Caenorhabditis elegans: one gene and its partners. The protein of the gene in region 3 interacts with the protein of the main gene of each other region in a biochemical or structural test. Each region holds a gene or a part of one and is shown on either strand. Other genes may lie near its edges.

The links.
Region 1: the proteins of mpz-1 (region 3) and unc-52 form a complex in vitro, tested with the Caenorhabditis elegans proteins (one study listed by BioGRID).
Region 2: the proteins of mpz-1 (region 3) and npr-1 form a complex in vitro, tested with the Caenorhabditis elegans proteins (one study listed by BioGRID).
Region 4: the proteins of mpz-1 (region 3) and sru-39 form a complex in vitro, tested with the Caenorhabditis elegans proteins (one study listed by BioGRID).

The regions. Positions count from the first base shown.
Region 1 is NC_003280.10:14,680,322-14,688,472, forward strand, and holds the start of unc-52 (Basement membrane-specific heparan sulfate proteoglycan core protein), read right to left. Parts: upstream 4,136-8,151; 5' UTR 3,976-4,135; coding exon 3,773-3,975; intron 3,225-3,772; coding exon 3,070-3,224; intron 2,984-3,069; coding exon 2,745-2,983; intron 2,569-2,744; coding exon 2,386-2,568; intron 2,021-2,385; coding exon 1,870-2,020; intron 1,482-1,869; coding exon 1,372-1,481; intron 1,003-1,371; coding exon 822-1,002; exon of another isoform or gene 763-821; coding exon of another isoform or gene 654-762; intron 612-653; coding exon of another isoform or gene 364-611; intron 72-363; coding exon of another isoform or gene 1-71. Other genes in the region: hhat-1 (Protein-cysteine N-palmitoyltransferase HHAT), read left to right, coding at 1-71, 364-611, 654-762. UniProt on the Caenorhabditis elegans protein: Component of an integrin containing attachment complex, which is required for muscle development and maintenance. Probable structural role in myofilament assembly and/or attachment of the myofilament lattice to the cell membrane.
Region 2 is NC_003284.9:4,765,621-4,774,136, reverse strand, and holds npr-1 (Neuropeptide receptor npr-1), read left to right. Parts: upstream 1-4,151; 5' UTR 4,152-4,162; coding exon 4,163-4,336; intron 4,337-4,772; coding exon 4,773-4,917; intron 4,918-4,966; coding exon 4,967-5,154; intron 5,155-5,213; coding exon 5,214-5,465; intron 5,466-5,515; coding exon 5,516-5,577; intron 5,578-5,622; coding exon 5,623-5,787; intron 5,788-6,391; coding exon 6,392-6,502; intron 6,503-6,551; coding exon 6,552-6,767; intron 6,768-6,812; coding exon 6,813-6,873; 3' UTR 6,874-6,985; downstream 6,986-8,516. UniProt on the Caenorhabditis elegans protein: G-protein coupled receptor for FARP(FMRFamide related peptide) neuropeptides. Activated by FARP neuropeptides flp-18 and flp-21. Plays a role in modulating social and feeding behavior.
Region 3 is NC_003280.10:10,773,477-10,781,773, reverse strand, and holds the start of mpz-1 (PDZ domain-containing protein), read left to right. Parts: upstream 1-3,647; coding exon 3,648-3,700; intron 3,701-8,297. Other genes in the region: ect-2 (Protein ECT2), read left to right, coding at 1-67, 450-955, 1,011-1,089, 1,138-1,263, 1,314-1,741, 1,790-1,865, 1,960-2,101, 2,164-2,293 and 1 more.
Region 4 is NC_003283.11:9,800,318-9,807,077, reverse strand, and holds sru-39 (Serpentine Receptor, class T), read right to left. Parts: upstream 3,603-6,760; coding exon 3,162-3,602; intron 3,116-3,161; coding exon 2,957-3,115; intron 2,910-2,956; coding exon 2,806-2,909; intron 2,760-2,805; coding exon 2,471-2,759; downstream 1-2,470. Other genes in the region: sru-37 (Serpentine Receptor, class U), read right to left, coding at 478-778, 825-928, 974-1,129, 1,177-1,617; F46B6.10 (uncharacterized protein), read left to right, coding at 5,050-5,166, 5,242-5,363, 5,471-5,615.

The DNA of each region.
Region 1 (8,151 bases), 3.9 Mb from region 3:
GAAAAATTTTCGGAGTTTTTATCTCGTACGGTTTTGTGCTTCTTTGGCACGGATTCTATCATCACAACATTGTGAGTTAAAGTTAAATTTTCTTAAGAAGCAGAACGATGGTGTGACACCGAAATTGAGGTAAATTGAGCTAGTCAGACACGTAGGCAAGAAGTAGGCAGGTCTTTAGTTTTTTGTTGCATTGAAAGTAATATTCATGAGATAAACTAGAATACTTTCTGACACCTCCAGTAAATATTCCATAGACGTAAACTAATTAGAGCGTTATATTTAGATCAAGATCACTTGAAAATGTCAAGATCTATCCATCTAATTACGCGAGTAATTATCACAACTCTATTCCATCTTTTCTAGGTCTGGATAGGATTGAACATCTTGGCCTTGTTCATCGAGATGGGATCCAAGGCGATCTACACAATTGAAAGTGTTCGAAAGTGGCGGGAGGCTAATCTATCTGACGTGGCGTTCCGTAGAATCTTGGCGTGGTGCCACATTCTGCCATTTGCCATCGGCCTGTACTCCAACTTTTACTTCCTTGGAGGTTCAGATGTTGGAGCGGCATTTGTGCAAAGATTTTTGATAGAAGAGACTATTACGTTTAGGTGAGAAACCATTAGTTTAATGAATACTAAAATGAATTTCAGGTGGCCATTCTTATTAATTATCAGCTTGGGATGGTTCCATGCAAATACCGCTATGGAAGTTGATAGGCTTAAGAGCCTGGAAAAGAGCAAAAAGGAGAAGAGTAATTAATATTTGATTTGCCAAATAAATTCTGGTTCAATATATTTGTAAATAAAGAATAAACTAACTAGAAATGGAGCAACACAGTCCAGCCACACATTCGGTCATGGCTGGGCACACCTTGTTGGACCAGCAATAACTCGAGCCGTGAAGACTGAACTCGGGCTCCGAGCCATCTTGGCAAACTGCGTTGACCTTTACGTGGTGGACATGATGAGGTTTGTAGGTCTTGCGTGGATGGGAGCATTTCTGGAAAATTGAAATTTAAAGGAACTTGAAATTAAAGATTGCCTTTGAAAACTCCTGGAGTAATCCCAATTGTCTAAAAAAATGCAATAAAGGCACCTTTTATCAGGAGTGTGCGGCAAACGATTTTTCTGGCAAATCGGCAATCCGGCAATTTGCCGATTTGCCAGATTTGCCGAACAGCAATTGCCGCCCATTCCTGAATTATTTAGTGCATCTACAGTAATATCTTATAGAGTATCCATACAGGCTCTGGAATACTACTGTATTGCAAAAATGCGGTCTTTTTGTGGGTCCAATGTATCCCTACGATTTCCCTACTGTAGTTTCACAGTACAACTTTGTTGAATTTAAAATTCCCCAACCCCTTACCTTTTCATCAGAACCATCATGGCAATCTTTCCATCCGTCACAGACGACGACAGTTGGCACACAAACATTTGTGGACTCGCATCGGAACTCATTCGATTTGCATTGCACTTCTGTAATAAGTCAAGTCGACGAAAGATTTTCTCAAGCACGGAGCACAATTTTTCAATTTTTCCTTGAGCATTTTCTCCTACAAGTGTGCGAAAAACAAAACAAGTGTGCTGGTCAAATGTTTAACTATTGTTTCTCCGAGCACACACACACACATGTGTGTGTGTGCTCTTTTCGTCCCCTCTCACCTTGTTGGAATAACCGGGTCTACTGGCTGCTTTTCAACTAAAAATTATTGGAAATGAGTCATTGATCTATCTTCCATTTTTTGGTACTAGTATTTTTCTCACAATGAAAAACATCAATTATTACATTCTAAGGAGCGAGGTAGTATCTAGCACCTATTATAACGAAATGTTCAATGTATTTTATGACTAAGAGGCCCCCTACCAGAGCAATGTTCCTCGTCATCACCATCTGGGCATTGAACTCGGCGATCACAGAATTGGGCGACTGGAAGGCAATGTCCAGATTTACAGGCACGCTCCCCGCTTGGGCATTCGTCGGATTCGGTGGCGACACGGTCGGAGGTGATGCGGACCTGAAATTGAACATTTTATGAATAGCTAAAAATACTGTAAATGGAAATTGGTTCTGATCGGTTTCGGAATAATGAAAAATTTTGATTTTAGAAATTTTCAAACATATTTTCACTTGTTTGAAGTCCTTTAAGTTGAAACACAATGTATCAAAATATGCAAATCGGAGAAGAAAAATTTTTTAAAAAATGGACCAAAAAATTCATGTGCAAATATAATAGTCGTTGAACCTCTCAGTTACAGTTTTGCCAATATTTTTGGAAATTTAAAATTTTAAAGGAAGTTTCAAACCATCAATGATAGCATATATGGAAACCCCTTTCTTAATATTTTTCTCAAATTTCCTGAATCACTTTCCAACGCTTACCTCAAAATCAGCCTCCACATTTATTCCTTGCACAATCATTTTATAAGTTCCATCATCTGCGTCGGTGGCGTTGATGATATGAAGATGATGTTTGTCTCCTTTTTTGTAAACCGTCACACGCCCGTCTTCTGCCAAGGTCATCGAGCCAACTCCAAGAAGAACGCTGTCTTTGGACCAAGCAATCTGGAATAATCAATAGTTTTACACAATATTAAAAGATTTTTCGGAGCATTACCTCAATTCAAAAGTCAATTAAGAAACTTTTTTTTTAATTATCAACATAGCTTGGAATTAGAAAATTAAGCATAGCCTCCAATCATGTAGACACTTTTTTATAATCAAATAAAGTGTATACGAACCTTATTATCCTCTACCGAACTATCAATTGAAGCCGAGAGATGGATGGATCCATGTTTCTGAGCGAAGACAACTTTCTCAGTTTGATGGATGATTGGTTGATGCTGCTTGCATTTTCCATGCTCCTTGTGCTCATCTGATCCATCTGGACAGTTGCGTCTTCCATCACAACGTTGATCCGCCGGGATGCATGACTTGTCAAGGCATGTGAATTCTGTGGTGGCGCAGGCTATTGACGAGTCTGCAATTTTTGGTAAAGTAAGATTTTTCAGGCGACTGAATAATTTTAACATATAAAACAACACACAACAACACACAACAACACACCTCTTACAACATGAAGCTCAAAACCCTCATCGGAAACCGTAAGGTTCCCAATTTTTCCAGACTTTATCGCGGACAACAACACATCAGACACCAGTGGTGACTCTTTTTCAGCGTACAAATCCACGTAGACAAGAGATCCAATGATTTTGTGATATCTGGAAGTTACAACAACATATAGGTACACACACATGTACATACATACGCATGTATTTACACAAAATACTCTATTGTTGACTTTCTCTCGTGGGAGGAAGCGACCGTTTTTTTTTTGTTAAGAATTATCAGAAAACATGACATTGGAATTTGGAAGAATTATTTGAAAACTTTAATATATACTTTTTAAAATTAAGCTGCAGAAGTATGCCTTCTAAATTAGTATTGTTGAATTTTGAATGACCGCGGACTCCGGACCTCGGACTTCGGACCTCGGGCTTCGGGTTCCGTTCTCCGGACGATGGACTCCGGGCTCTGCACTCCGGACTCCCAATTTTGGAACCCGGGTCTCCGAACTTGCGGATTACGGACTCTGGGTTATGGCCCACGGGCAACAGTTACGGGTTTGGATTACGGACTGATGGACATTTTGTAATTTTAAGATTCCGCAAAAAAGTAAATATGTGGAAATTAGGGGAGCAATTTTAGAATTTCTTGAAAAGTGAAAAACGCCCAAAATTGTCGATAACCTTTTTCACTCAAAACTCACTTATAATCGGCAACCTTAGCTGTATGCCTTCCTTCTAGATCCTTGACCAACTCTTGAATAGAATGAGCTATATCTCTAGATGTGCTCACGAACTCATCGCTCTCAACGTTCTTCAACTCCTGAGTGTACGGTAGTTCGGGAAAGTTGATGGTCAACCGGTAGATGACCGTCAGTGAAACGACGGAGAACAGCGAAAACGCCATCCCCCCTAACTAGTTGACGGGGGGTATAAATGAGCAGTAGGTCAGTTTTAAAAAAAGAAAGTAAGGAGATAGAAGGTTGCTAGACAGAGGCGCGCGCTGACCGTCGGCGGCGGCGAGGCACAGCGGCACAGTTGCAACTTCTTAGGCCCCGCCCACTTTTTTAGGAGAAGCTTCCACCCTCCTTCTTCTCTAACTGAATTTCTTTCCTGACTCAGGTAAATATTTGCATTTTAGAGCCGCCTCTCTTGTTGCGCCTGCGCGTCTCGCAACTAGCATAAACACATCACACACACTCACACTCACTCACACACTCACATACTTGAATAGCTTGTCATGCACCACGTTGGACGGAGTATCATGGTATATAACCGTCTCATAATATATAATATAGATTCGCATGTTTCTTGCTTATTGTTATTATATTAGACGCGGTTGCCGCTATTGGGGGTGCAAGTTTGAAAAGAGCTAGAAAATTTGGTAGCATTGGTGTTTGAGAAAATATTTCCAATTCTAATGCGTTTCTGGCCATTAGCTGACAGTAACCAAATCATACAGTTCTCATGTATACTTTCTAAAGCAATTCCAGTGTGTTTAAGCTTCAAATCTAGCAGTCCTCATTTTATGTAAAACTACATAATTTCCAGAAAAGTACAAAAATTCAACAGAACATATAAAATATGTTGATGTTGCATGAATACATAGTTGCAAAACCACAATTTTCCTAAAATTTTCAATTTTGGCAACTGCCAAAAATAAAATTTGTCGGCCACTCTCTTGATACAGAGTGAATCCACAGTACCTGGCGTTTCACGTCAAGTGCATTTGAGTGTGCTACCATAGTCTTATCGAAAGACTTTTGTACATACAATAAACCTAGCCACTTCGTGATCAATTCATGAATTTCAATTCAAAACAACTCTATATTGCAAATTTCTGAATTCTAGGATTTTTCTAGGAAGGCGGTGAAAACCATGTACAAAGCTTCGCCTTTTTCAAGTTGCTCCGGCCCGCGTGCACTTTTGATTTCATTTGGCAAAAAGAGTTTTTGTTGCAATACCCGCCCAAACCATCATATATCCTGTCCAAACAAAATATCCCCAAATCTTTTCCGACATACACAGGTCGTCGTCATCTCATCACTCGACGAGAGTTCCCCGATCATCAAACCTCATATTGGTGGCTCGTCTTTTCCGTCCGATTTTCACATCCTCAAGTGTTTATAAATAGAGGAAGAATCATCTCCCAGAGGTTATAGCTTTGACTATATATATTTCATTTTCCCATACCTTTTATAATCACTGATATCGCCACCTCACCAAAGAAGGTGGCGAAAACTGTCGAAACCTTCCGATTATATAAAAGTACCCCCACAAATATTGACACAACAATTGGACAGTCTTCAAGCCGATTTAAGGGAGGAACGGTAGCTGCTTGGAATGGGGGTAGTAGGTTAAAAGGTGAAAAGCGGCGAGGAAAAAGAGTGGAAAATTGGTGGAGAGCTGGGAGAATTGTTTGCTGATTTTCGCACTATCCCTATACTTCTTGCATCTAAAAGTGCAAATCTTTTGGGGAAAGCTGGTGAAAAAAATTGGGAGTTAATTAGAGGAAAAAACAATTGGAACAAACACAAAATTTTCAAGAGAAAAAATATGATTTTTTGAGTACAGTGAGTAAATATATGAAAGTGAATAAAATTTTTTTAAAAATGGCAAAAATAATTTAGCAATTTTCGAAAAAAAAAGTTTTTAAGCCCAAACAAAACCATAACACAAAGCATTTTGAAAAAAATACAGACACACTTAAACTAAAAAAGCAGGCAAACATATCCCAATGAGGAGGGGGCCACCCAACAAACGCAACAGGATGAATGAGATCTATAACCGGGAAGAGTTGTAAACTAATGTAAAGGCAATTGTTAGCGCGTTAGGAAATTGTCGCATGCATACATTACACACCAGGGGTGGGCCGCAAATAATTTTTTTTCTCGGAAAACGGCGAAACGGAAAATTGCCGAAAATTAAAGTTCCCCGCAAATCGGCAAAGTTCAGGAAAACGAAAAAAAAGTGAATTTTTTGAAAAATAAAATTTTCGGCAAATTTTGGCTTTGCACATTTTGTCTCGAAATTCAGTAAATTCTATTTATGTAAATATCTAAAGAAAACGAAAACAAATTTCCAAAAAGGCAGTTTTAAGTTGTTCCGTCTTATAAAAAATCTCTCTAAACACTCCGGCAAATGGCAAATCGGCAAGTTTTCCAAAATGAAAATTGCTGGCAAATCGGCAAACCAGCAATTTGCCGAATTTGTCGACAATTTTAAGGTACAATAACCCACGAAATCGCAAATTAAGGTGCAAAACTGTCAGAATATGTTTGCCTTATTGTATTACTGACTACACTTTCAGCAATCTTTCAGTTTTACATGATTTTTGCCAACCTTTTTCCCTCATTTCTACACAAACAATTTCGTCGTCATCAAAAATCCCCTCAATTCTTCCTCCAAAAAAGTGGACAGATAATAAGCACTTTTAGCGGAAAAAAGACGGACTGTGCAAATAAAAAAGGACAGTTGTATCCCCTCTTTTCAATTTTTGAAAAAAAAGTTTCCCTAGGTGCAAAAGTTCTCAAAACAAAAAGTTTGCTTACCAAGTGTCCATAGACTTGATAGCGAGACTGGCGCCGCGTTGATTGGATCGCAACAAAAAAAGATAATAAATAAAAGTTCAAAAAGTATAGATATTCGCATTTTGGTTCGCACGCATTGAAAAGTGAAATATTCAGAGGATAATGTGGTTAGGCATTCAAAGTTTCCGTGGATTGTAACATTTCAATTTCGGCGAGACGAGGTGTGAGAGGGGGCTCTAATGAATGACTGATATGTGTCAGACGGGATGAGTGGATGTGCACATTGTTGTTTGCGGTGAATTAATTCAATGGGATAATGGAATTGGAGGCGAGATCACTTAAGTTAGTGAGTGAAGTTTTTCCTCTGTGGAGTTGAGCTTGGAAATTTTTTGTGATAGAAAACAATATCCATGTACCGAATATGAATGTTTAAAAAACTAAAGGGCTCTTTGTAATTTGTTTTCAATTTTGCAACAAAAAAAATTAGAAAGCTTTATTATTTATGACATCCTTTGCAAAAGAGTGGCGTAGTTCTGGAATCTTTTCTCCTTTCTGTGGCAATATTCAAAAATTTCCAAAAATACGTAATTTATTTGCAAAGAATTTAACAATGATTAATAAATCATGTGATTCGGTCTTTTTTTTTGCAAAATTAAAATCCTTAAAAAATTAGAAAAAGACCATTGCTTTTTTTACAGTTACCTATATTCGGTCCTCTAAACGAATACTGGTGCCTCCGTGTAGGTACAAAAAAGCCTGCCTGGCTTCTAGTATCAACTTTTTTCTATAGCCTGTCTTTACATTGCAATCTCCAAATTCTCTATTCCAGTCAAAATTCAGGCAAAACGGAGGTAGCAAAACTCGTGGATCTGATCCCATTGAGATTTTAGAAAGCGAGTTCAGTATCTCAGATAAACTGGAGTCACGGCAGAGCGACAGAAAATCACTTCTAATCAGCAAAAGCTAGTAAAGCCATAGTTTATCAGCAGAGAACCACTGCTAATTAGCAGGTCATTGCTAATTAGCTAAAAAGCACTGCTAATTAGCAGAAACCCACTGCTAACTAGCAGAACATTGATTATTGATTTTATTTTGTTTTTTCTTCGTCGTATTTCACATATTTCATTTTTTTGACCTTTTTTATTGTATTTTTTGTGTGATATGTTATCAATATGTGTTAATTGTTAATTCCAGTGTGTTTTTCAAAGATTTGTATCATTCCCGGCTAGAAACGGAGGATTATGGCCAGAAATCCAAGAACAACAGTTCGAAGAATTTTGAATTCAGCACCCCGGAGTCTTCTGATTCAAAGCGTGACAATAGTTGCTCTAGGTAAATTTTTTTAATGATTTTATTGGGACTAAATAACTACTTTCAGACCCGACGGACAATAATCATGGTTCTCACCAGCCGGGAAGCAATGGTCCATCAAATTCAAGCACCCAGGCCGATAACTTCGAGACGGAAACAACTGCAGATGAAGAACGACAAAAGGAAGATGGTGTAGAAGATGAACTCGAAGACGAAGAAACAACAGGATTCATTGATGAAGA
Region 2 (8,516 bases), on a different chromosome or scaffold from region 3:
TATTACTGATCAATTTTTCATCGAAAAGTGCAATTTTTCTTTGAAGCTGCATACAGGTTTCAATTGAGTTTTCTGAACGCTAAAACTTGAACAGGATCTATAAAAAATCTTGTTAGCGTTTTTGTTGTTCCCATTGACTGTGACAGCTCACTTTGTCTAATATGGTATTTTTCTTAAAGCAGGATGTGGGCAAACCTTGATTGAAGGTCAGTGGGGATTTGGTTTAAATCCACTAATTTGTATTAGTTTAACATGACCAAATATTATAATATAACACCCCAATTTTTAGAAAGCATTTTTCAACATTTTCGGTCTAATTATTGGTAAACTGCCCAAATTCCAAAAATGTAGACTTTTTATATAGTATTTCTAAAATCAAACACCTATAATGTTGAAATAGAAAAAATTATATCACGCATATGTTCTAATTAAAAACATCACAACATATTTTCGGCCGGCATCCAGTAAATTCAACCAATTTTTGAAACGATTTATTATGCCATTTAGTCAGTCTAACAAACAATTAATTGATTTTAAAAATCATCCTTAGTATCTAGATTTTTATATATGTATTAAAAATTTAAGTTTTCAAGAAGCAGTAACAAAATTACGGTTGGTTTAGTATGTCTTCTTAATTATTTGGCTAAAATTCGTTGGCAGCTGATGCTTTTGAAATTGCCTAATCCAGATGCATGAAAAAATAGAAATAATACGTAACAGGAAAACGCAGTTGGCACAAAGAAAACATGGCAGCAAAATTAGAAGATTATAAATAAGCCCCATAGTGTTAAGGTTTCTTGTTTCACGAAAAGGGCTTTCTAACTAGAAGAGGAGTAATTTTCTGAGTTTTAGAACCAAAAAGTCATTTGTTTCTAAGCATACAGTCAACGTGCAAATATCGAATTCACAAAACCAAGACTATTCATCATTTTGAATGATTTCCATTTTCCGCCTCTCTATTACTAATCAAGTGCTCTTAACATGTACCTCAATTTATCACGAGAGAATTTGTCACGAGAGACTGAAAAATTCAGCGGAATGAAACATTTAGCTGGTGTCTGAACGGTTGACAAATCGTTTGGCTGATATAAATGACATAGTACTTTAATACTAGTTGGATTATCGGTGACTCCGCGTTTTCCTTTTTTTCTAGTTTTTTCCCTTCGAATTGACTATTTTCTAAACTAAAAATTTTAACACAACATCTTACTCATTGAGAAAGCCATACTATTTATTTTCAGTAGTTTACGTCATGTAATGAAAAATTAATCCGGGCTCCGTGTCAGTCATGTTCCAAACTTTCAAATATTTAATTTTTCTGGTTTCAATTCCTACGATTATTCCCATCGAATTGCAAATTTATGAAAATTATTTGATTGATTTTTAGTTTCTAGCAGAGCTAGCAGAAAACGGTGGCATTTCCGTCTTTGAACTCTCGGGGGTTGAAGCAAACATTTCAAAGCATGAGACATGCGATCTCCCCGATGTTAAACCGGAAAACTAGGAGGTAAACGTACTCTTTGCGCTGGCTCAAAATTTATTTATGATTTCTCAATTTCTAGTTGAACTGATCCGATCTATGTTCTAACCATATTTCAATTTTTAGACATCATTTTTAATAAAAATGTTTGGAAGATACAAATTATCATAACTTGTATTTCAGTTTTACACTTCACAAAGAGTCGTGCGTGGGTCCGGAAAATACCTCATTTCCGTTTTGATGTCTATTCTTGGCGAAAAATATTCATCTGTATATTTTTTAACTTTTTGGTGCAAAATTTGAATTTCGAAGAAGTTTTTTTGAAGAAGTTTTTCCCTACGTAGTTGATAAACTCGGAATGTGTGACTGTGGCCATTGAATAACCCTACTAATTTCTTGTAAAATTTCTGCAATTGTTGGATGTTAAAGGAGGAGGAAAGGTTTGGATTGTCATAAACGTACACACTAAAAATGTGCCCAAATGAACGACTCAAAAAATGTTGCAATATTTTTTGTGGTAGTTTGAAATTTTGAAAAAAAATACAGCTAATTTTAGTGGAATTTTTGAATTTTGCCTACTTTTCTGTAGCACAGCTGTTGGATATGAACTGTTAGTCAATTACCATACTTTATTGCATGGTGACTTTTTCAAACATTTAAATAATCATGAAACATTTTTGAGCAGTATCTAATAAATTTGATCATTTCAGCTATTTTTGAGTTCATATTTTCAATATATCCCAAACTGTTATTCCCATTTTAAACAACCAATAGGCCTTTTGAGAAATTATGAATATACATCTTACGGTTAGTTTGAAATACGTGCAGCTTTAGCATGATACCAACAAAACAGGGCACAATGTGCACACCGCGAATCAAAAATTCTTTCGTGATGCGCCAATAGTGCTCGGACCTCAATGTGTTCATAATGCTCATTGAGTTTGTGAAAAGCACTTAATTTTCTCGGTCTCATGCAACTAAATCTCTCAGTAAAAGGAAATAGTTCTGAATAGTCTCCTTAATTTCAAAGAACAAATATTTCTTAATGATGTTTTGATTTTCGAGGATAGATAATATATTGCAAAATGATTTAGTTTTAATTTCTGAAAACTTTGAACTTTATTCATAACAATTACAATGACAACTACTTGAACTTTAAATTGAATTTATGAAAGCATGAAAACAAATTTTCCTTATTAGTAACTAGTTTGAAAAATAAGTTCGTTAGCCTAGTTGTTAAAAAAAATATAATAATAGGATTTTTTTCATTGAATGTTCCAATTTGATGCATTATTCTCCTTGAAAATGAATTGTGATTTGAACGTCGCCCGATCCAATTGTAGCTCAACTTTAAAAAAATCTGGCTTCAGAGAATTTCGAGATTAAATTTAATCAGTTTATCCAAAACTCAATCAGCCTCTGGGTTTGTGTTGTTTTGATTGATATCAAAAATTTAATCTCAACCCACACATGATCAAAACCATTGTCACTTTTTTTTATTTCCTACTTAAAAATTCAATTTCCGTTGTTTAACGAAAATAGAGTTGGAAAACAATTGCGGAATTTTTGAAACCTGTTTCAGTAAATTTTCCCCACATATTCTTTTTCTCTTTTTTCTCAGGTATTCATCTTTTCGGCCCTCGATCCCTTTTTCATTAACGTGAACATGTCAACCATTTTTCGGCTTCATCACACAACTCCCTCTCACATCATTCCTGTTTTTGCTCTCATTTCACATTTAGCAAATTTCAACGCAATTTTTTTCTGGTTTCCGTCTAAGATATTCGTCACATAGATCAGTGCTGTTTTTTTGACACAGGGTTTAGAAATTTTGAACCTTGGTTTACCAATATCTTGTTTCTATCCATTTATTACTAGGTAGTTGTTGAACCATACGGAAAAAATAAAAAATTTTCCACTTGTCAAAGCGATAGATGACATCCTGTGCTTCCAGTATCTATAATTCTGTAATGAATCTCTGTCATTTGTAATCTGTATCAATTCGCAGGTGTATTCCGCCAAAAATATACATTCTGAAAGCTCAAGATGGTTTTAAGGTCTCCGATCTTACAATGTGGTTGAACTACCTAATTAGACTTACCCTATTTTTTAAAAGTATTGCACCTATACTGCCTTATCACCCAGATGCAAAATATTGCCATTTCACAGCTTAACTAAACCTGATCTTAACACGACAAGTTTTTTTTGTCAACTGAAAACATTTGCACCTTTAAAAAATACTGTATATTGAAACTTATAAAATTTTTGTAGACTCGTAAGAAAACCTATGAAAAGACCACCAAAACTCATCAACGAGAAATGAAAAGTACAGTAATCTTTATAAGTGCACACAATCTTTATAAGTTGCATTTTAAAATTTTGTCGTATTGTCTAGACCGGGAACCTGTTAGTGGGCCAAGAAATAGTATAATTTTGGGGTTTTTAAAGATGTGAGTACGAAATATTTAATTTCTATAAGCCATAAGCCATGCTAAAAAAACCCTAAAAATTTGCTTACATGAGAAGAAAGAATTATACTCAGCCAAATCTCTAATCACTTTCTGGAAACTATAGGATTTTATTTTTTATCTATTAATCTATTTGGTTAACACCCTCTTTCATCTTTGTTTCCTCAATTTTTCTTTCCTCCATTAGACTAAAAAAATTTCAGACATAGGCCAAATGGAAGTTGAAAATTTTACCGACTGTCAAGTATATTGGAAAGTGTATCCAGATCCTTCTCAAAGTATATATGCGATAGTGCCATTTCTGACCGTGTACCTTTTTCTCTTTTTTCTTGGACTCTTTGGAAATGTGACCTTGATTTACGTAACTTGCAGCCATAAAGCTTTACTGGTACGTTTCGTTTTTTTTTCGGGTCAAATTTTGTTCTGTTTTGGAAAATTGACAATTTCGGGTTCTCTGAACAATTTGATTCGAAGTGCATAGTGCGTACAGCTTACTGACACCCGGCTAACGAGAGACGAGGTTATCCATGTCTACTTGAAAAGTGACGTACATATTTGGCAAAAAAAAAAAACACTCTTATAATTCTATATAACCAAATATCATAATAAACGTTTCACAACTAGAAAAAAAAATTTTATAGACAGTCAAACTGAGTAATTACCACTTCTTGAAAGAATTTTTCCAAAAACGAACCAAATACGTGATGGAACATCACAAAAATGTTTTTAACATTTTTTGAAGCGGATCAAGATTTTTACTCTGACTAGTCCAATCAAAAATCCCAGAACCTTCACTTCTCCTGTGAATTATCATTAAATTTCAGAGCGTTCAAAACATATTCATTCTGAACCTGGCGGCGAGCGATTGCATGATGTGCATATTATCGCTTCCAATCACTCCAATCACAAATGTGTACAAAAACTGGTACTTTGGAAATCTACTCTGCCATTTGATACCATGCATTCAAGGTATTTTTTCTAAAACAAGAAGTTTTTTAAAATGACGTTTTTTTTTCAGGTATCAGCATTTTCGTATGCACATTCAGTCTCGGTGCGATTGCTTTGGATCGGTATATCCTTGTAGTAAGACCACATTCTACACCACTATCCCAAAGAGGAGCATTTCTTACTACTGTTCTATTGTGGATCCTCTCTTTTGTTGTAACTCTACCCTATGCGTTCAATATGCAAATGATTGAATACACAGTGAGTGTCGTTTTTTTCTAGGTATTCAACTTCTTATACAACTAGTACCCTCGTTTCAGGAAGAGAGAATATGCGGCTACTTTTGCACTGAAAAGTGGGAATCTGCCAAGTCTAGAAGAGCCTACACAATGATCGTGATGCTCGCCCAATTCGTGGTCCCATTCGCTGTCATGGCCTTCTGCTATGCAAATATTGTTTCGGTGCTCAGCAAGCGTGCTCAGACAAAGATACGCAAAATGGTGGAGAGAACAAGCGCGTTGGAGAGCTCTTGCGCATTCCCGTCGCATGGTCTTGAACAGTATGAAAATGAGGTAGTTTTATTGATTTTCAAATTAAAAATTCACATTTGATTTCGTTCCAGTTGAACGAATTTCTAGACAAACAGGAAAAGGAGAAACAACGAGTTGTACTTCAGAACAGAAGGTATTAAATGCAAGGTTTCTAACCGAAATACTATTTGTGTTTTAGAACAACGTCAATCCTAGTTACCATGGTTGTCTGGTTTGGGATAACTTGGCTGCCACATAACGTCATTTCTTTGATTATTGAATATGATGACACACAATCGTTTTTCCGACTTTATGGCAGAGATGATTACGATATCAGTTATTTACTGAACCTTTTCACTCACAGGTTTGATTTTAACCAAGAACGAACGGTTTTGACCATTCTGAACGTATAAACCCAAACATGCCTCAAATGAACAAATTTCAAAATAAAACTTCTCAAAATTTTTTTATGCCGGTTCATTTTTTGGAAAAAGACCTGGGTTTAGCTAAAATATTCAATTTCTGTCACTTTTCCGCAGCTGTCGAAAGTTGACTTTTTTTAAAATTATCGTCCTTTATCGCATATTTTAATAGTTTATCTCACTTTTTTCGATCATTAAGGTATTTTTTAAGCCAATAAGTAACAAAAAATGAACAAAATCGGCTACCTATTGGATTGAAAGATACCTTAATCAACGAAATAACGTGAAATAAAAGCTACAAATGGCACAAATGATGATTATTCAAATAAAGCCAGTTTCTGACCGCTGTGAGTCGGGAAAGTGGCTAAAGTTGCGGATTTAGCTGAAATTAACGTTTTGGCCCAAAACGTTTTGAGAAGTTTCATTACGAAATTCGTTCAATTGAGCACATTTTGTGACTATATGTTCAAAATACCCAAAACCGGATCCCTCCTTTGAATTCAATTTTTTTCATGTTTTTGCAAATATTAATTTTAACGTTTCTAGTATTGCCATGTCGAACAATGTTTTAAACCCGGTACTCTATGCGTGGCTGAACCCAAGTTTCCGTCAACTGGTCATAAAGACATATTTTGGAGACCGGCGTAAAAGTGACAGGTTTGTTGTCAATTTCGAAAACGCGTTGTAATTGTGCTTTGTCTTCCAGAATAATCAATCAAACATCAGTTTACAAAACAAAGATCGTGCATGATACGAAGCACTTGAATGGAAGAGCCAAAATTGGCGGTGGTGGTAGCCACGAGGCGTTGAAGGAGAGGGAGCTGAACTCGTGTTCGGAAAATTTAAGCTATCATGTGAACGGTCATACGAGGACTCCTACACCGGAAGTTCAGTTGAATGAAGTTTCAAGTCCTGAAATAAGGTAGAACGTGAATTTGAAATCGTAATTAAAATTTTGATTTTTTAGTAAACTTGTTGCTGAGCCGGAAGAATTGATCGAGTTCAGCGTCAACGACACGCTAGTCTGATTGTTTTCTGACATATCCTTTTTTCGTTGATTTCGCAACTATCATCACTTTCATCCTTGCTGAAATAGTTTTTATGATCTTTTTTTTGAATAAATAATACATAGGATGCATATATATCTATAAGTGTTTTCATGACGTACACATACGAAAATTGATGATATGTGGTCTCGTAGACTAAACGATCATCTCGTGTTCTACAAACGAATGATTCAAAGCAAAGTGCTTCAGAAGACTAGAAGGTAGGGAATTAAACACGAAATTATTATGCAAAAAGAAGAGTTCAAATATTGAACATGTGGTAAAACAAAACGCTATGCAATATTTTGGAGTTTTGAAAATTTCAGACAAACTGCCGAATTTTTCGGAAATCGGGAATTTTGCTGAAAAATTTCTGAGCCATCATTCGCCGGAATTGCCAATCGAAAAATGATTTACAGAACACTAAACAAGGTGTAATAATTCGTTTTCAGAATAAGATTAAATTTAAAAGTTGCTAAAAATTGTCAGCAATCTGCAATTGCGGAAATTTCAGCAATTGCCGAAAATGTTAATTTCCGAGTATTTTTGATTGCCGTGCACACTTTACTTTTTACAAAATTAAAATACCAACAATTGAATACATGTTTGTTTCTTTTTAAAATAACAAATCTCAAAAACTGATTAATTACCATTTTGTTACTGTAAATAAATTTTTAATAAATTTTTTAAGCTGCAATTTTTTTTAAATATTTAGTCGCAAACTTGTTGCACTAAATGCTGAAACACAAATTTATTTGCCGTTTGGTTGTTTTCTGAAAATTCAAACAATAGTAATTAAGAGTTTTTTCTGATAAATGTTAAAATTTCACTTACATTTGTAAATTAGAATTACCGTATTTCTTCGATTAATATAGCTGCAATACTATTGTTCGATGGTCTTCTAGCTTGCAATACTAATAGGGAGTGCAAGACTATTAGGGAGTGCAATACTAATTTTCAGAGCATTTTTCTGACTTTCAGCTTACTAGTTTTTTTCTGATAAAGCTCGAATCTTGTGTAAAAATTCAGAAAATTTGATCTTAAGTGTAACATATAAGTTCAAAAACTTCAATCTCGTAGAAATGTTGTAAAAAACTGTTGCAAAATAGGCAAAAAATGCTGTTGAAATCCTGAAATCAGCGATACGGGATTGCAATAAAAAAGAGTAAACGCAAGACTATTAGGGAGTGCAAGACTAATAGGGAGTGCCATACTAACTTTCGGAAGGTCTCCGAGGAGCAATACTAATAGGGAGTGCAAGACTAATAGGGAGGCCATATTAATAGAAGAAATACGGTAATTTTATTGAATATGTAGTTTACATCGAAAAGTTTTCCATATACGAACAACAACTTCAGTAAAAAAAATTTATCTTGCCAAAAATTTCCAAAAAAAAAAAACAACGTATCTGAAATTTTTATTGAAATTCTTATACTGTAATTTATTTTAAAAGGACTTTCTGTAATAACTAATCGTAAGATAAATTTTGGCACAAAAACTTTTAAAAAAATTTCTCGAAGCCTACGAAGATTTTAAAATTTTACCAAACCCCATTTCAAACTATTTTTCATAAATTTATCAATTTTTATCAACAAAAAATAAATTAAATTTTTTATCAAAATCAA
Region 3 (8,297 bases):
CAGAGTTTGTATGGAGATGGTGGAGACGGAGAAGAACTACTTGTCACTGTTGAAGCTTGTTGTCAAGGTTGGATATTGACTTATCGCGAGGTGCAAGCGCGCTCCACGGCTAAACGAAATAGCTCCGCCCATTAACGTTGGGTCTCGTTAGGTTTTGGCAAGAAAAACAGAAGTTTCCAAGAACTTTTAGCGTTTTTGGTTGTGTCTTCTGTTGCTTCCATGATTTTTGTGTCGAAACTGAAACTATTCGTTTTTCAACTAAAACAATAGAAAACATTACAAAAAGTTTTTAAAAAATGCTTGTAAACATAACAACTTACCTCTTTTTTTTGGTGCCAATTCCTAACGATACCCAACGTTTGGGGGCGGATCGTTTTTCATTTTGCCTTGGAGCGCACTTGCACATTGATTTCAAAAGTCTCCATTTTCTGATATGAATATTTTTGCAGTTCAAAGAAGCTCTGGAATGTGAGATCTCACACAACGAGTTCATGTCAAGATCCGATGTCGCCATGATGTTTGGAAAGCTGGATCCGATTCTCGAACTTCACGAAAGGATTTTCGCCAGACTGACAGTAATGTCAAACGAAGCGAATACACTTTTGACGGTCGTAAATGGAAAAAAGAACGATGATAAGAATCTGGACTTTGCACAAGTGTGGATTGATGCAAAAGAAGAAATGAAGAAGGCATATCCTCAGTACATCAACTCTTATGACACAATCAAACGGTTATTCGATAAACAGGATCGAGAGAATTCTAAATTTCACACATTTTGCAAGGCAAAAGAGAGTAATCCAGAGTTTCATCGGCTCAAGTTGACGGATTTGATGGTGAAACCAGTGCAACGTCTTCCAAGTGTCATTCTTTTACTCAAAGAAATGGCAAAGAAATCCGATTCAAAGCTGAAGAACAATGCTGAAGAGGCCGCAAAAGCGATTGACGAAGTTTTGAAGTGTGTACTTTCAACATAATTAAATTTTATTTTTCTAAATTCATTTGTTTTTCAGAACCGCCAACAAAACTCGTGAAAAGAATGACAACTTCATTTCCCATCTGAGCAAGTTCACTGACATTGAAAATGTTCCAGTAAGCGCGGAAATTTGTTGAACAGATGTTAAAATAATTTTTTTACAGCCAATTTTGGTGGCTGCCAATCGAATGTTCATACGAGAGTTGGTCGTTTCTCCGATTGCAAGTACGTCGCCAGGTCTACAGCAGTTTGCGAAAATGAAATTATTTTTATTTCATGACGTGCTAATTGTAAGAGAGTCTTTAAATAATTATTTTGAATAATAATTCTGAAATTTCAGATCACGAAAATACGCAGCGAGAAGAATACAATGCAACGTCTAGCTCGTCACGCGTCGTTTGCCAGTTTACATTCGAGACAGCGTCGCCCCTACAGGTACATTGACCAGATACAGTTGAACACGATGCGTAGTGCATTCCGAATTCGTGCTCCCGACGAGATTGCGAAGTGTCTGGAGTTGCAGCAGCAGAACGGAAGCACAAAGCCAAATGTGTTTGTATGGTGCCTGATTCATCGTGACGAGCAAGGTGGTGACATTGACACAGTCTTCGAATCGAATGATGATGAAGAGGTTCGAGATTTTCTCGACGATATTCATGTGAAGATCTTGAGTGATTGTGGGAGATTCTTCTACTCGTCGGATCCATCAGATATGAATGAGATCAACGATGCGATGGTTTCGGATATGACAACTCGATACTTTAGAAAGTAGGCTTATTTCAGGTTTCAAGTCTTTAGAAAAAATCAAAATTTCAGTCTTTGCGGAGCGAAACCACAATATGGACACGGCAGTCAGATGAACATTACGGTCAGTGAACGATCTACACAAAACGTGAGAAATGAAGTTTGATACATGAGTGGAGAAATTAAAATTGTCCACAGTGTTACACCTAACTTGAATGCTTATATATAAACTTTTATTACAGGAATGGTCACACAATGAGTCGTTTATGCCACCACCACAGTCACAGAGTCGAATGCGACGAGCGTTCAGTAATGCTCAACTCACACTTGCCACCACGCTGGGCTTTGGCAGAAATCAGAGTCGAAATAACTTGGGACAAATTAGTGCGTTTTTAGAAAATTTATTTTTTTTTCTTCTGAAATTGTATTTGATTCACTAATTTCAGACGAGAACACGACATTTCTGCAGTCTCCCAGAGTTTCGTGTGATCCAGCAGCTCTCGCAAACATGACGTCAGTCGGCGGATTGCCTGGATGCCAAAGCGAATCTGAATCGACGCCAAAGCGAGGAATTCGGTACGTCAATGCACCCCACAGATTTATCGGAGACAACACGTTTTCGAGATCTGTCCGAAAAGTCAATTTGAAGATCTACGGTTTCAGGATGTGGCACCGTGTCAACTAGAAATACTCGTAGTTTTATCGAAGAAAAACTTAACAATGATGCTCCTTTGTTGTCACGTTTTTCTTCGAGAAAACCACGAAAATTTCTAATTGGCACGGTGCCAGATCCTGAAGCCGTAGATCTTCACATTGTAGATATTCTTTTAGTAGATCTTCTTTTAGTAGATCTTCTTTTCGGCCGGATCTTGAAGGCGTGTTGCCTCATTCATTGACCATATTTTCCCATGAGTTAATGCCAAATTGACACTCTACATCTAACATATCCTGTTAGTTATTTCAGTTCTCGCCTCACCTCGACAACGTTCCTCGGCGGCCGACACAACATACTCGGACGAAACACGTCGATGCGCCGTCAGGCTACCGGATTTGCTCATTCGGAAAAGGAACTACCTCGCTCAAAAACATCTTCATATCGTGTCACCGATATCTGAAACTCCCCGCACCCGTGTAACTGATAACTCGAATCTCTCCTCCGACTGATAAATAATTCGTTCTCACTCTTTTCCGAGCTTCATACCTCCAGATGCTCACCGGTGTATTTTGATGGTTTATTTCTTGCTTGCTCTCAGCTCCCTCCCTCTTACATTTTTCATGTTTTCACCCGTAGTTTTTCATTTCGTTTTTGTAATTACAACAACCGAAACTACCGTAATCACCATCCACAACTACGACCAGATCCTTTGTATCATACTGATTTACCATTTACCACAGGTGTATTTTTCCCCCCAAATCGTCATTATCATCTTCCTGTCCCCGAGGCTTGTGTGACCATTGCTCCTTGACTTTTATTATTTCCCCGAAATCACTTGTATGCCATTCTTATCCGATACCCCTTTCCCCTTTTATTCTCACCATTCATTTGAATGGTCATTCCCCCACAGTAACGTTACGATTACTTTTTTCTTTTTTTTTGAAAATTCAAATTTTATTCTTGTTAGAAAATGCGATAGGGGGTTCAAATGAAATTACACCCTACTTGTCTTTAAGTCTTTGAACTCTCTAAAAACAAAGAAACAAAGATGAGATTAGTGAGAAAAAGGAAACATGGGCGGAGCCTTATAGATGGCCCCTGGAGATTTCATATCTTGGAGCACATGCCGCTTGGCTTTTATTCATTCATTCCGAAACACGTCTTGGCCAGGATCCTGCATATTAGTATATTTTAAATTCAGATTTTTAAATTTTTTTTATCTTCTTAAAATTCGAGCTAATTAATTGTGATTCAGAATCTGGAATACATCATTGAATGATCGATGAGCCAGAGGATATAATAGCAGTTGAAGATGAAGCCGAAAGAAGGTAGGTCTGAAAAGAAAAAATGATTCGAAAGCGAGAAAAAAGATGTGCGTCTTTAATAAGTACAATAACCCGCAGATTCCCGTTATTTCGATAATTTCTCGGATTTTTCCACACATTCTTGCTAGAAAAATATTTTTTGTTCAGAAACAAAACTGAAACTTCTGGTAAAAGTGAATAAAATCGAAGAAAAATGGAAAACGCCGCAGCTGGGTTACTGTACAATTTAAAGGCGCGCACACTTTTCGCGCAGCCTCCAAATTTTATTGGGGAAAATCGCTAAAATTCGCAATTGGATAATAAGAGACTGTTTGAAAAACTTTCTCATACATTTTATCAGTTGATTTGGGGCACGATCGCGCTCCACTGCCAAATTAAAACGCCCCGCCCCTAAACGTTGGGTCTCGTTAGGAATTGGCGGCAAAACTAGAAATTCGAACATTTTCAGTCAATTTTCGCCAGTTTCGTTTTTAGGCTGTTTTTTTAAAATTATTTGTATGTTAAAATTGATGAAATAAAGCTGGTTATAAGTTTGGTTATAAAAAGCTGCGGCAAAAAAAGGGGGAAAATATATTTTAATAGAACGAAGGAAATGCAATGTCTCAATAATATAGTTAGACCCTTCATTTTGTACTCCATTTTTGGTGTCCCCCCGTCCAGAAGGAGACGTCTTCCTTTTCTTCTGCTTCTTCTTCTAATTATGCATCTCCTCTATACTTTTCCTCATCTTTTTTCTTCTTCGTTTTTTTCCTTGGTCCCATCTTTATTCCAATGTTTCTTTGTGTAGTACCACTACCATATGTTGTTCTTTTAATACACTTTCCCTCCTTTCTTGCCTCATTTTTCTTCATATTATAGACATGGTGCATCATGACTTGAAGCATCATGCACCCCCAAAAAAGAAAAAAAAGTAAACTAAGTCGAAAAAGTTTTCGAAAAAGCCCTTTTCCCTGATTCCTATACAAATAGCATTGTGCCAAGTGGACGTTGTTTGGTGGGAAAAAAGGTGCATAGAGAAGGGCGGGGGTCCCGGAGCCGGCTCAATGTTACATCCGTTTCGGAAGAGTTGAAGTAGACAAGGAGAAAGATGAATTTAAGGACTCTTGGGAACTACGCTAGAACACCTTTTCGCTTTTGTTTTCGGAAGTATAAAAAAAAACAGAAAAACTTAAAAAAAATAGAAACTTGATTTAAGCATAATGATTTTTCTGTACACAGAACTGTTATGGGGTTATTCAAGTAGTGTCGGAAAATTAAAAAGTGTAGAAAAATTACGTCACAACCTTATTCAAGTATATAAAAACATGTATTTAAATACATTTGTGACGTCACAAATGTATTTTAATACATTTTGCTACATTACTTGAATAACCCCATTACTCCAAAAATACGGTACCCGGTCTCGGAACGATAATTTTTTTGTTAATTTCAGACTGGTATGCGTCTTTAAAGTGTACTGTAGCCACAAACTTTTCTCATTGCAGATCGATTTTTTAACGCCTGTAACAATGTATATATGGGAAAGAAAAGTATTAAAAATCGATGAAAATTCCGCAGCAACAAATGTTCGAATTTACAGTACTTTTTAAAGGCGCATACCTTTTTGAATTTGAAAAAATTGTCGTGTCGAGACCAAGGACCGTATTATTGAGATAACAATCCGAACGCTTTGGCATCGGGGCTCCGGGAGCTTACCTGAAACCTTTCATCATCTGGAAGAAAACCTAAACTTTCCCGTTTTCCTTTCTGGAAGAACAATATTTCCGAACAGTTGCTTCATTGTTTATAGTTTTGGAAAATAATATTATAAGTTGCCGTATCTTTTTGTTTTCTTTCAACAAAAGATTCAATAGATTTGATTTAGGGTTGTCATACTATTTTCTACCATACGGTACCTACAGGCTTCACCCAAGTAATTAGAATTTTCGCATTCCTCTAAGCTTGGCTACATTTTTTTGTGAAGGCATTTTACAGGCGAGTGACGGGTGACATTCTGTCGCGCCTCAGTAGAACGCGAAGACGGGTGTTTCCACCTGAACCTTCTCACCCAATATGTAACTAACTTCTCAAAAACCAATCCTGGCTTCCACAGGACATCGATTCTCACCAGTTTCTCACCCGTATCAATCGGATAAATCTGGTCTTTTCTTCTTCTTCTTCTCAAGATGCTACTAGCCACCAACACAGAGCACGCCTACTCTTCCTCTCCGTCCGTCTACTCCGCGGCAGCTCCTCCGCCGCCAACTCCTTTTCTTTTCTTCATCTGCTACTTCTTCTTCTTCTTTTCGTCTTTCTGCTCCAACGCAAGACGATAGCTCAATTATCCACAAACACACACACACACATGGAGAGAAATACACACACACAAATGCATCACATTCGCACTCCGGGGAGGAATAGAAAAATAGACGTCGTGTACTTCCAGATTCTGGTTTTTTCTGATTTATGACAATTTTTTCCATTTCTGTCGTACAGTATTTTGTTTAACATTTTTTAAAAATATCTATATGCTGTCAGCACTTTTCATTCCGCCTCCAAGTTTAATAATTCCCCAAAGAACTTTTATCAATTATCCCTAGAAATTTGTTCTCTACAACTAATGTCGGCGTAACAGTCATGCGTAGGCGTTTTCGGCGTGAGGCAGGCAGAGGTCACCTTCAGGTTTGCCCTAATTTTGGATTTTTTGGCCTATTTTTCGAATTGCTTTTTTCCAACAAATGGATAGTTTTCAAAATGTGAATTTTAAGTAAAGATTTTTTTGAAAAAAAAAGAAGCTGGTCGCCTCGATGATTTGAGACCTTGGATAATCAGCTCGAAACTGGTAGATTATGTTTCGATATGAGTTCGGTTATGGATGGTTACTGTACACTATTGCTGGAAAACCGGACGTACACTTTACGTACACCAAAATCATGCCAGTCTTACTGTACACATTTTCAATATTCCAGAACATTTTTTTCTTAAAATGCACACAATTCTACTGAAACTTCTTGGAAGACGAACCTTCCATCCATCATGCCCAAGTGTTTATTCTTCCATTTTTCGACCTCCTCATCTTCCATCTTCTCCGCCTTCATTCCTTCGTTTTTTTTCACATTTCCACTTTTTTTCTTCATATTTCATTTTTCGTCTTTTCTTCCTAATCCTCGTTTTTCTTTCATTTTTCAATGTCCCTTTCCCTTATTTATTGTTTCCAATATTTCCAACAACAGCTCCATTGGACATTTCAAATTTCAAATGTCCGCCCGTTCATTTCTCACTCAACCTTTCCGGCCGTAGGAAAAATAAAGATGAAACTGGACATGCAATTCGTAGTTTTCTTTCGTTTTATTGATGTCTGGACATGTTCGGTTTCTTTTTGGAGAACCTTTTGAAATATCATTTTTTGGAAAAAAAATTCAAAAAATAGTAGCACCAATATTTTAACACCATATTGCTCGAAATATTCGAAATATTATAAACTCTCATTTTCAAATTTTCTTCTTGGTGCTCTTACGATGCTCTATCAAATGTCTGCCGTCTCTCCCAATCAAACAATATTTCCATCTATCAAATGCTGGTCATTGACAACGATTGAAAGATTCAATGAGCTTCAGCTTCTTCTTTCAATGTTATCTTTTCAAATTGATTTTTCTCAGGCGTTTCAATTTTTTCCAAATTCGTGCCTACATTTTCTAATCAAAACTCACAAAAGCATCGAAAATAGGCGGTAGGCAGTCACATAGGTAGGCAGGCATAAAGTAGGTACAAATTGGAGATTGAGACTACGTGACTAGACCCGGATCAACTAAGAATTTTATTTTTAACCTGGTTTCCGCCTCAAAGTGCTCCTCGGAGCAATGAATCGGGTTTTGTGTTCTCATACTTTACACATTGGCGGATCACTTTTAAATTTGTTTGTAACTTTTTTTTGAGGAACCGGAAATTTCCGAAATTTCTTTTTTTTAAATAGCCACAATTATCTTCTGTACTTACAGAGTTAAGCCAAAAATTAACTTTTGATAATTTTTAAGTAAACATTAATTTTTGGATATTTTCCTTTGAGTTCCTTTTTTGGCCCGAATATGCAATATATAACAAAGAAAATCTAAGAAAATTAGATTGCAAAACTTCATAAAATGCGGAAATTGAGTGGGCCAAAGTTTGGAATTTCTAGCATTGGAGACAAAGCATTGGAGACAAATATTCCAGAGCGAATTTTCAGCTAGATAAGTCTTTTTTTCAGTAATTTTTGATTAATGAAACTCAATAAAAAAATGGTCCAGCTGAAAGTTCTCCCCAAAAATTTTCTCACCGATTCTAAATTTTTCAAATTAAGCCCCGCCAATTTTTGTTTTTTTTTAATTCGAGCTTCTGGAGCCAAAGCTACCTATCAAACTTTGACTCTAATTCTTAATCTTCAATTATCAATCTTGAACATGTACCAACCGAGACATGACTGTCACAACAAATCGTGGGACTTCTCCCCTCTGTGAAAGCATGTGGTTCACCGGGAGCACACACAGGGGCTCTTCAACCCTCTAAATCTATTGTTTTTGTGAATTGTGTGTGTGTATGTGTGTGTGTGTAACAAATATCTTTCTGAGATGGCCCCGCGGGC
Region 4 (6,760 bases), on a different chromosome or scaffold from region 3:
AAATCCAGTACGTGTTAGTGGCATTTCGTGAATTCAAAATCATGGCTGTACTGCTTCTAGAGATCATTAAAAATTTAAAAAAAACGTTGATTTTCAGCTGAATTGAAATATTGCCAATCGAATCACGAGACACATCTTTTAGGCTCACAGAAAAATAACGAAGAAAAAAGAAAAGAAATGTGCAGGTGAATTTGTTTTCAGTGACTATTAGATTCAATATATTGTTACCAATTTGAATCAACTTACACGATTTTAACGAAAATTTGACAATATTTTGAGAAAACGGTGAGTTCTGGAAATGATCACAACATACACATGATACCACAAAATAATGCTTTCCGGAAAGATAAACTTTTTTCTGTGAAAATTTTTTAATTTGATTATGAAAAGATTGCGACAAAAAAGTTCTATAAAATATCAATTTGTAAATTAGAAAATGTGTTTCACTCTCTTCAAAAAATTAAATATTTATTCAAATTAAAAATGTGCAGAGATGCTTCGTTTTGGACTAACATCACATACAACTTTGATATTATTTTTAGGTTGCTCTTTCTTTTTGAAAATGTGGTGGGTAAAATAAAAATAACATGATACAAAATGGGCCCGAGCATCTAAACAAATGCACCGAGAGAGAAAAATATAAGGATAAGCACTTGGTGCAAAAAGATTGACAAAGGATAGAGTTGCAGGTACCACGACTGGGAGAAGAATCAGAATCATTGTTGCTGTCAACACTTTTTCAGATTTTAGATCTGTTTTTCGGTGTAGCTCGGAACTTCTGAAATTTTAAAATTTTAACTTGAGCAAATGCAATTGACACTAACATTTTCCGTTTTTGCAAAAGTTTGAAGAACATCAAAATTGCAGTGACAATAATTAAAATAATCGAAGCGTTTGAAAACATTGAGTAGAATATTGTGTAAATTCTCTGAAAAATTTATAATTTAAGCGTTTTATCAAATCAAATGCTTACCATATCTCTTGTCAATGCCGTGATAACAATAGCTCCAAACGGAAAAGGTTTGTCCATTTGATAGCAGGAAGTTGTGGAAAAGAAATGAGGAATTCCGAAGCAATGACCAATTATTATAAGACTTGGAGCGATTATGTCAAACACCTTGGATATTGTCTAAATGTCTTTTTATTATTTTTAAAAATGGACCGTGCAAAACATACATCCTTTTGATACTCAGCAGCATACAAAAGTGCAACTCTTTGAACACAAAATGCCAGAGTCATTAAATGAGATGTATAAACAACTCCAATAAATAGTAAAGATAATATTTTAAGAATTAATACAGGTTTTGACTCTGCACAATACGCTGTGAAAATCGATGTCAATGGAATTCGAACAATTAAAAAATCAATGAAAACATGAAATTCTTTCCACAGTTGCATCAAAAGAAATATTCTAAAAACATCCGGTCTCAATACTTTTTTCATTTCGTTGCAATGTTTATGTTTCAAATAGAAAATACACATTTTCACAGTGATCCAAAACGAAAAAATACCGTAGATAGCTGTGACAGCAGCAAAAATAGTCAAAAAATTGAATGTGTATTCAAAATTGAAATATTCCGGTTGAAAATCGATCGCCTTAAATCCATAGACAGACATCTCAAAAATAGATCACCGAACAATAACACCAGGATAGAAAAGAATTGGGGAGGAATTGTTTTGGAGCCAATTCAAAAGTTAATTTACTGATTTTTGTGTTATTCTTTAACAAATATGGCATCAATAATCACCAAATAATATAACTCTAATTTATGGAGCAGACATAAATACTTTATGGAAAACTTGATTTAATTATGACTCATTTGAAAACTTCCAAAACAAAGAAATGACAAATCAAGCAAGAAGTGGGCATTGGGATCTTATACGCCTACACAGATATGATACTGAAAAAAGTATACAGGTTCCAAATTGTTTGTAGTTGCTTTAAAATTGATAATGAATAAATGTTCAAAGCAAGCAGTCTAGTGACTCTCGACTTTGATTTTACTTAACTTTGATTTTCAAATAGTCACGTTTGGTTATAATTGTTTCTTTGAATTTTCAAAAATTTGTTAGATGAAAAACCATGTATTCCAGGAGATCCTGAATGCTCACTCTACCTTTTGCAGCCAAAAGGCAAGACTTTCTGACTATCCTGCGAGTTTTCATGAAAATTTATTTTCCTTTAATGGTGTTCATTGAACAATATATATTACACGAATTGCGGTAAATTGCTTAGCAAGCAATGCGTTCCATGAAGTAAAGTTTTGAAACGTTTCCCCGAAAACTTAAAGAAAAAAATTGGACAACGTTTTTAACTTTTTCACTTCACTTTTTGTGATATGAATGCACTATAAAAACTAGTATCCAGAAAATTATTATCACATTAAAAACTTGTGCTTTGAAATTTTTGAACCCAAAAAAAATATTTTTTCATCCGAAAAAAGACAAATTCAAAATAATTTATTACACATTAAAAATATGTTGACACTGTTCGAATAGTGCTGTCGTTTCGAATTTTAGTACTACGGTTTTTCTTTTTAAAAATGTAATGCGTATAATAGAAATAACAAGAAACAATATGAGCTCGGACATCCAATGCAATGCAACGCAGGAGAAACATATAAGCATATAAATTTGAAGAAAAAAGATTTGCAATTGACAGAATTGATGGAACCACAACAGGGAGAAGAATTAGAATCATTGTAGCTGTTAATACTTTTTCTGATTTTAAATCTACTGGTCGGCGCAACTCGGAAGTTCTGGAAAAGTTTTGTGTAAAATTTATTATAAGGAATTTTAACTTACATCTTCCGTTTATGATACAGCTTTACAAACATCATGATTGTCAATATAATCGTCAGTGTTATATTTGTATTAGAAAAAATTGAGTAAATAATAGTGTAAGTTTTCTGAAAAAATACTTGCATTACGATTAACTTTTGGATTTTCTATGAACCACCATATCCCGGCGTAGAGCTGTGATTACAATTGCTCCAAATGGAAATGGTTCGTCCATTTGATAACAAGAGCTTGATGCAAAAAAGAACGGTATTCCAAAACCATGCCCAACAAATATAATGAGAGGGTTGACAATATCAAATATTTTTGCAATTTTCTGAAAATGAAATGAATTAACACTAGAGGTTCATGAGTTGACATACATCTTTGTGATATTCATGAGCATATAATAATGCAACTCTCTGAATGCAAAACGCAAGAGTTAATGAATGAGATGTATATACAACTCCTGTGAACATCAATGATAATATTTTTAAAAGTAGAACTGGCTTCGATTGATAGCAATAACTGGTAAATAATGATGTAAGTGGAATTCGAACTATCAGAAAATCCATCAAAACATGAAATTCTTTCCATACTTGCATCAAAAGAAACAATCGAAAAACATCAAGACGAAGTCCTCTTTTCACTTCTTCGTTATTTTTATTGTTCAAATAAAAAATGCACATTTTTAGTGTAATCCAAAACGAAAACAGTGTATATGTACAAGTGACTGCTGCGAAAACAGTCCAAACATTGAATGAATATGTAAAATTGGAATATTCAGTCTTATTATCAATTGGTATATGTCCATAAACAGACATGTTGGAAGTTATTCGAAGAATGAAAAGTGTGGTTGACGTATGTCTACTGAAAGTAGGCGCTTTAATTGCCAGCTATTCATAAAATTTCATTGAGCAGTACGTGTATTGGCAAAAGATCAATTTTTAAACTTGCATCTTTTATACTTACATATATACCGGATTATTTAGGTGCTAAGGTCATGTATTTCGGGAAATTCGTAGTACATGCGAAAGATGTGAAAAAGTGTAAAATAAGAAGTCTTGTCTGGTCTCCTGTTTCTGGAATGTGGATAATAGCAGAAAATGAGTGAAATTGAATTCACTTATAAGAATTAAAAGTGTTTACGCGTTTTTATTCAAGTGACGAATGATTGTTCCTGGTAAATGAAATTATGGACTAGCAAAGCAAGTATTTCAGCTGAATATTCGACAGCCAGTTGGAGCCTTCGATATTTGAAAGAAAACCTTAATAATTGGTGACCGCAAAAATTAACTGCAGAAGAGTTTGCTTTTTTGGAACATCGGAAAAAAAAGTTTTTCATCAGAATCAATTATTGTCGATTTTCGATTGCAAGATATTCTAAAAGATTAGCAACAGTTTGAGGTGTTTTCTAGAATTTTTATATTTCGAAAAAACCTAAATTTTTAAATAGAATTCGGCGAACAAAGTTTCAGATTTTTTCAACATAGCTCAAAACGCTCTTTCGCAGGTTTTTGGTAAGTGATTTCAATGGTTTTTCCTTCAAATAACTAGTTTTTTTCTGGATTTTCATGTTTAAACTAAAGTACTATTCTTGTTTAAAAAACATTTGGGTACAAATATATTGGTAAACTAATGCGACGCCCCAACAAATAATGTTTTTTCCTGCAGAGACAAACAAGTCTGCAAAAAATAAGTTTTTGGGTGCGTTGCTCTAATCTGCGAATCAAATGATTTTTAGTTTGAAGGAAATGCCAGTTGAGTAGAAAATTTCAGACGCAAAAGAAATGGGGAAAAATCGCATGAAAAAATTATACAAAATAAACTATCATATTTCTGACATCTTTCAATGCTTGAGCAAAACGAAAAGAATGATCAGTTGAACTTTTGTGGCCTTCTTGGTCTTCTTAGTCTGACCCAAGTTTGGTTTCTTTCCGCTTGAATTCAGCATTTTCACTTTTTCGATATTGTTTCATTCACAACTTGATGAAGAGTGGTACGAATTAATTATTCTAATGATCAAAAATTGAATTTCTCAGAACTTCTGGAATGTAAATATTTTACGAAAAAAATTATTCTTTTAATGATTGAAAAAATAATTCGCGTAGACATCTGGTCTCTATTTTTTTTTAACTTTGAATCGCGTTTTTCTAAAGTTTGTTTACCGCTAATTAGAACAACGTTTAAAAATGATAAGGTCAATTTATACTAGAAAAATTATTTCTACTTTCTTCATCTGGTCAAGCATACAATTCAACTGTCAACATAATGATCATTATAATTGTTATTTCGATGCTTTTTGCAATATCATGTAATAGCTTTCTCGTTTTTTGTGCAAAATTGAAGAAGGACAAGAAGGCTACTTTAGAGGAAGTCACTCCACGGGTAATTCAATATTGTTTCATAGTTTAGAACTTGAACTTCGCAATTGAATAATTGATAATACCATCCAAATTTCAGGGAACCACACCGCTACCGCAATGTTCAAGACAATCGAGGATTGTTGACAGGGATGACAGAGGTTCAACAAAAACGAAAGGAGGTCGGAGAGGAGTCAAAAGCAGTAAAGAACCAGATTCCACGTGAGTTTTCTGCATTTTTGGGGTGATTGGATAGGCATAAAATGTTGTCACAACTTGTTTTTCTTTCGACTTTACTTGAAATAATTTTTTTAAAGATCATTTTTCAGGGATGATGCTTTCAAAGAAATGGCAAAGCGTTTAGCGAAGAAGGATAAACCTGAGAAAACTGGAGATTCAATTGTTGGAGATGACGACGAAAACCCTCTTGCACAGTTCCAGATGCCTGAACGACCAGTTGTCCCACCAAATTAGGATGGTGCAACATTGGAGAACATTGTTGAGATGGAGAAGAAGCCTGTCTCAAAACAACCAACGATTCGAGCTGTAACTCCATCAGGTGGCCCGAAGACTGCACAGGCGATTTCAGTTGCTCAACCGCCTCCTATTCTTCAAAAGTCCCAGAAATCCATTATCCCCAAGAAAGAAAAAACAATAACCACTGATAAGACGCAATCTGATCCACGTGCCAGAGAGATTGAGAGCACTCAGCATGTGACCAATATGACACTTGAAGATGCAATCGATACTGGGAAAAACGAAAAGGAACCTGCAAAATCCGTGGTAATTTTTTTTAACTGTAAAAGTAGTATACAGTGCGTGCAACTTCTATAGCGCCCCCTATTTTTTTCGTGTTTCGTCACTTTCCCAAACTTTTTTGAGAAAACCATTATAGCCATTCGATTTTAAATGTCAAAAAACCCCCTGCCCGAAATTTTCATGAAAAAATATCAAAGACTACGGTAATTAGGTCAAAAAGTCTGAAAAACGACCGTGCAACTTCTATAGCGCTCCCTCGAATTTTCGCTATTTTTCAATAAAATACCTAGTTTTATGAGATTTCTGAAAAGGATATAGTATTATATATTAAGAAAAATGATCATAAGGTTTCATTTTTCAATTTTCAACAGAAATATATTACGTGAAAACTTCTGGGATCCCAAGAGTGGCCTGAAACGCTTCACTTTGCGTTAGTGGCCAGTTCTCGGCTACCACTGCATGTATTGATACGAAACTTGACCGAAATTTTCATTTTGATTTACTGATAATGTTTCAATAAGTTGTCATAAAATTTGGTCAATATGGGCCAGGTTGACAGACCAAGTTAATAGTAAGTCTAGTAACCAATCAGTTGTTCTATCGATAAAACACATCTGAGGCATGTCAGAGAATGGATGTGCGTCTTTTCTGGTAGACAAGATATCCATTCAATTAACTATTTAAAACAAATTTTGTCCGGATCGAAAAATGTTGGAAAATGATCGGTAAAATTCGAGAAATATCCCTCAAACAAATTAACATGTGCAGAAACACTGGGCGGGTCTGTTTCCCGTGGTTCCGCGCGTTTCATTCGAGATCGAACGACAAAAGAACTGTCGAAGTGTTCAGAGGGGTCACAG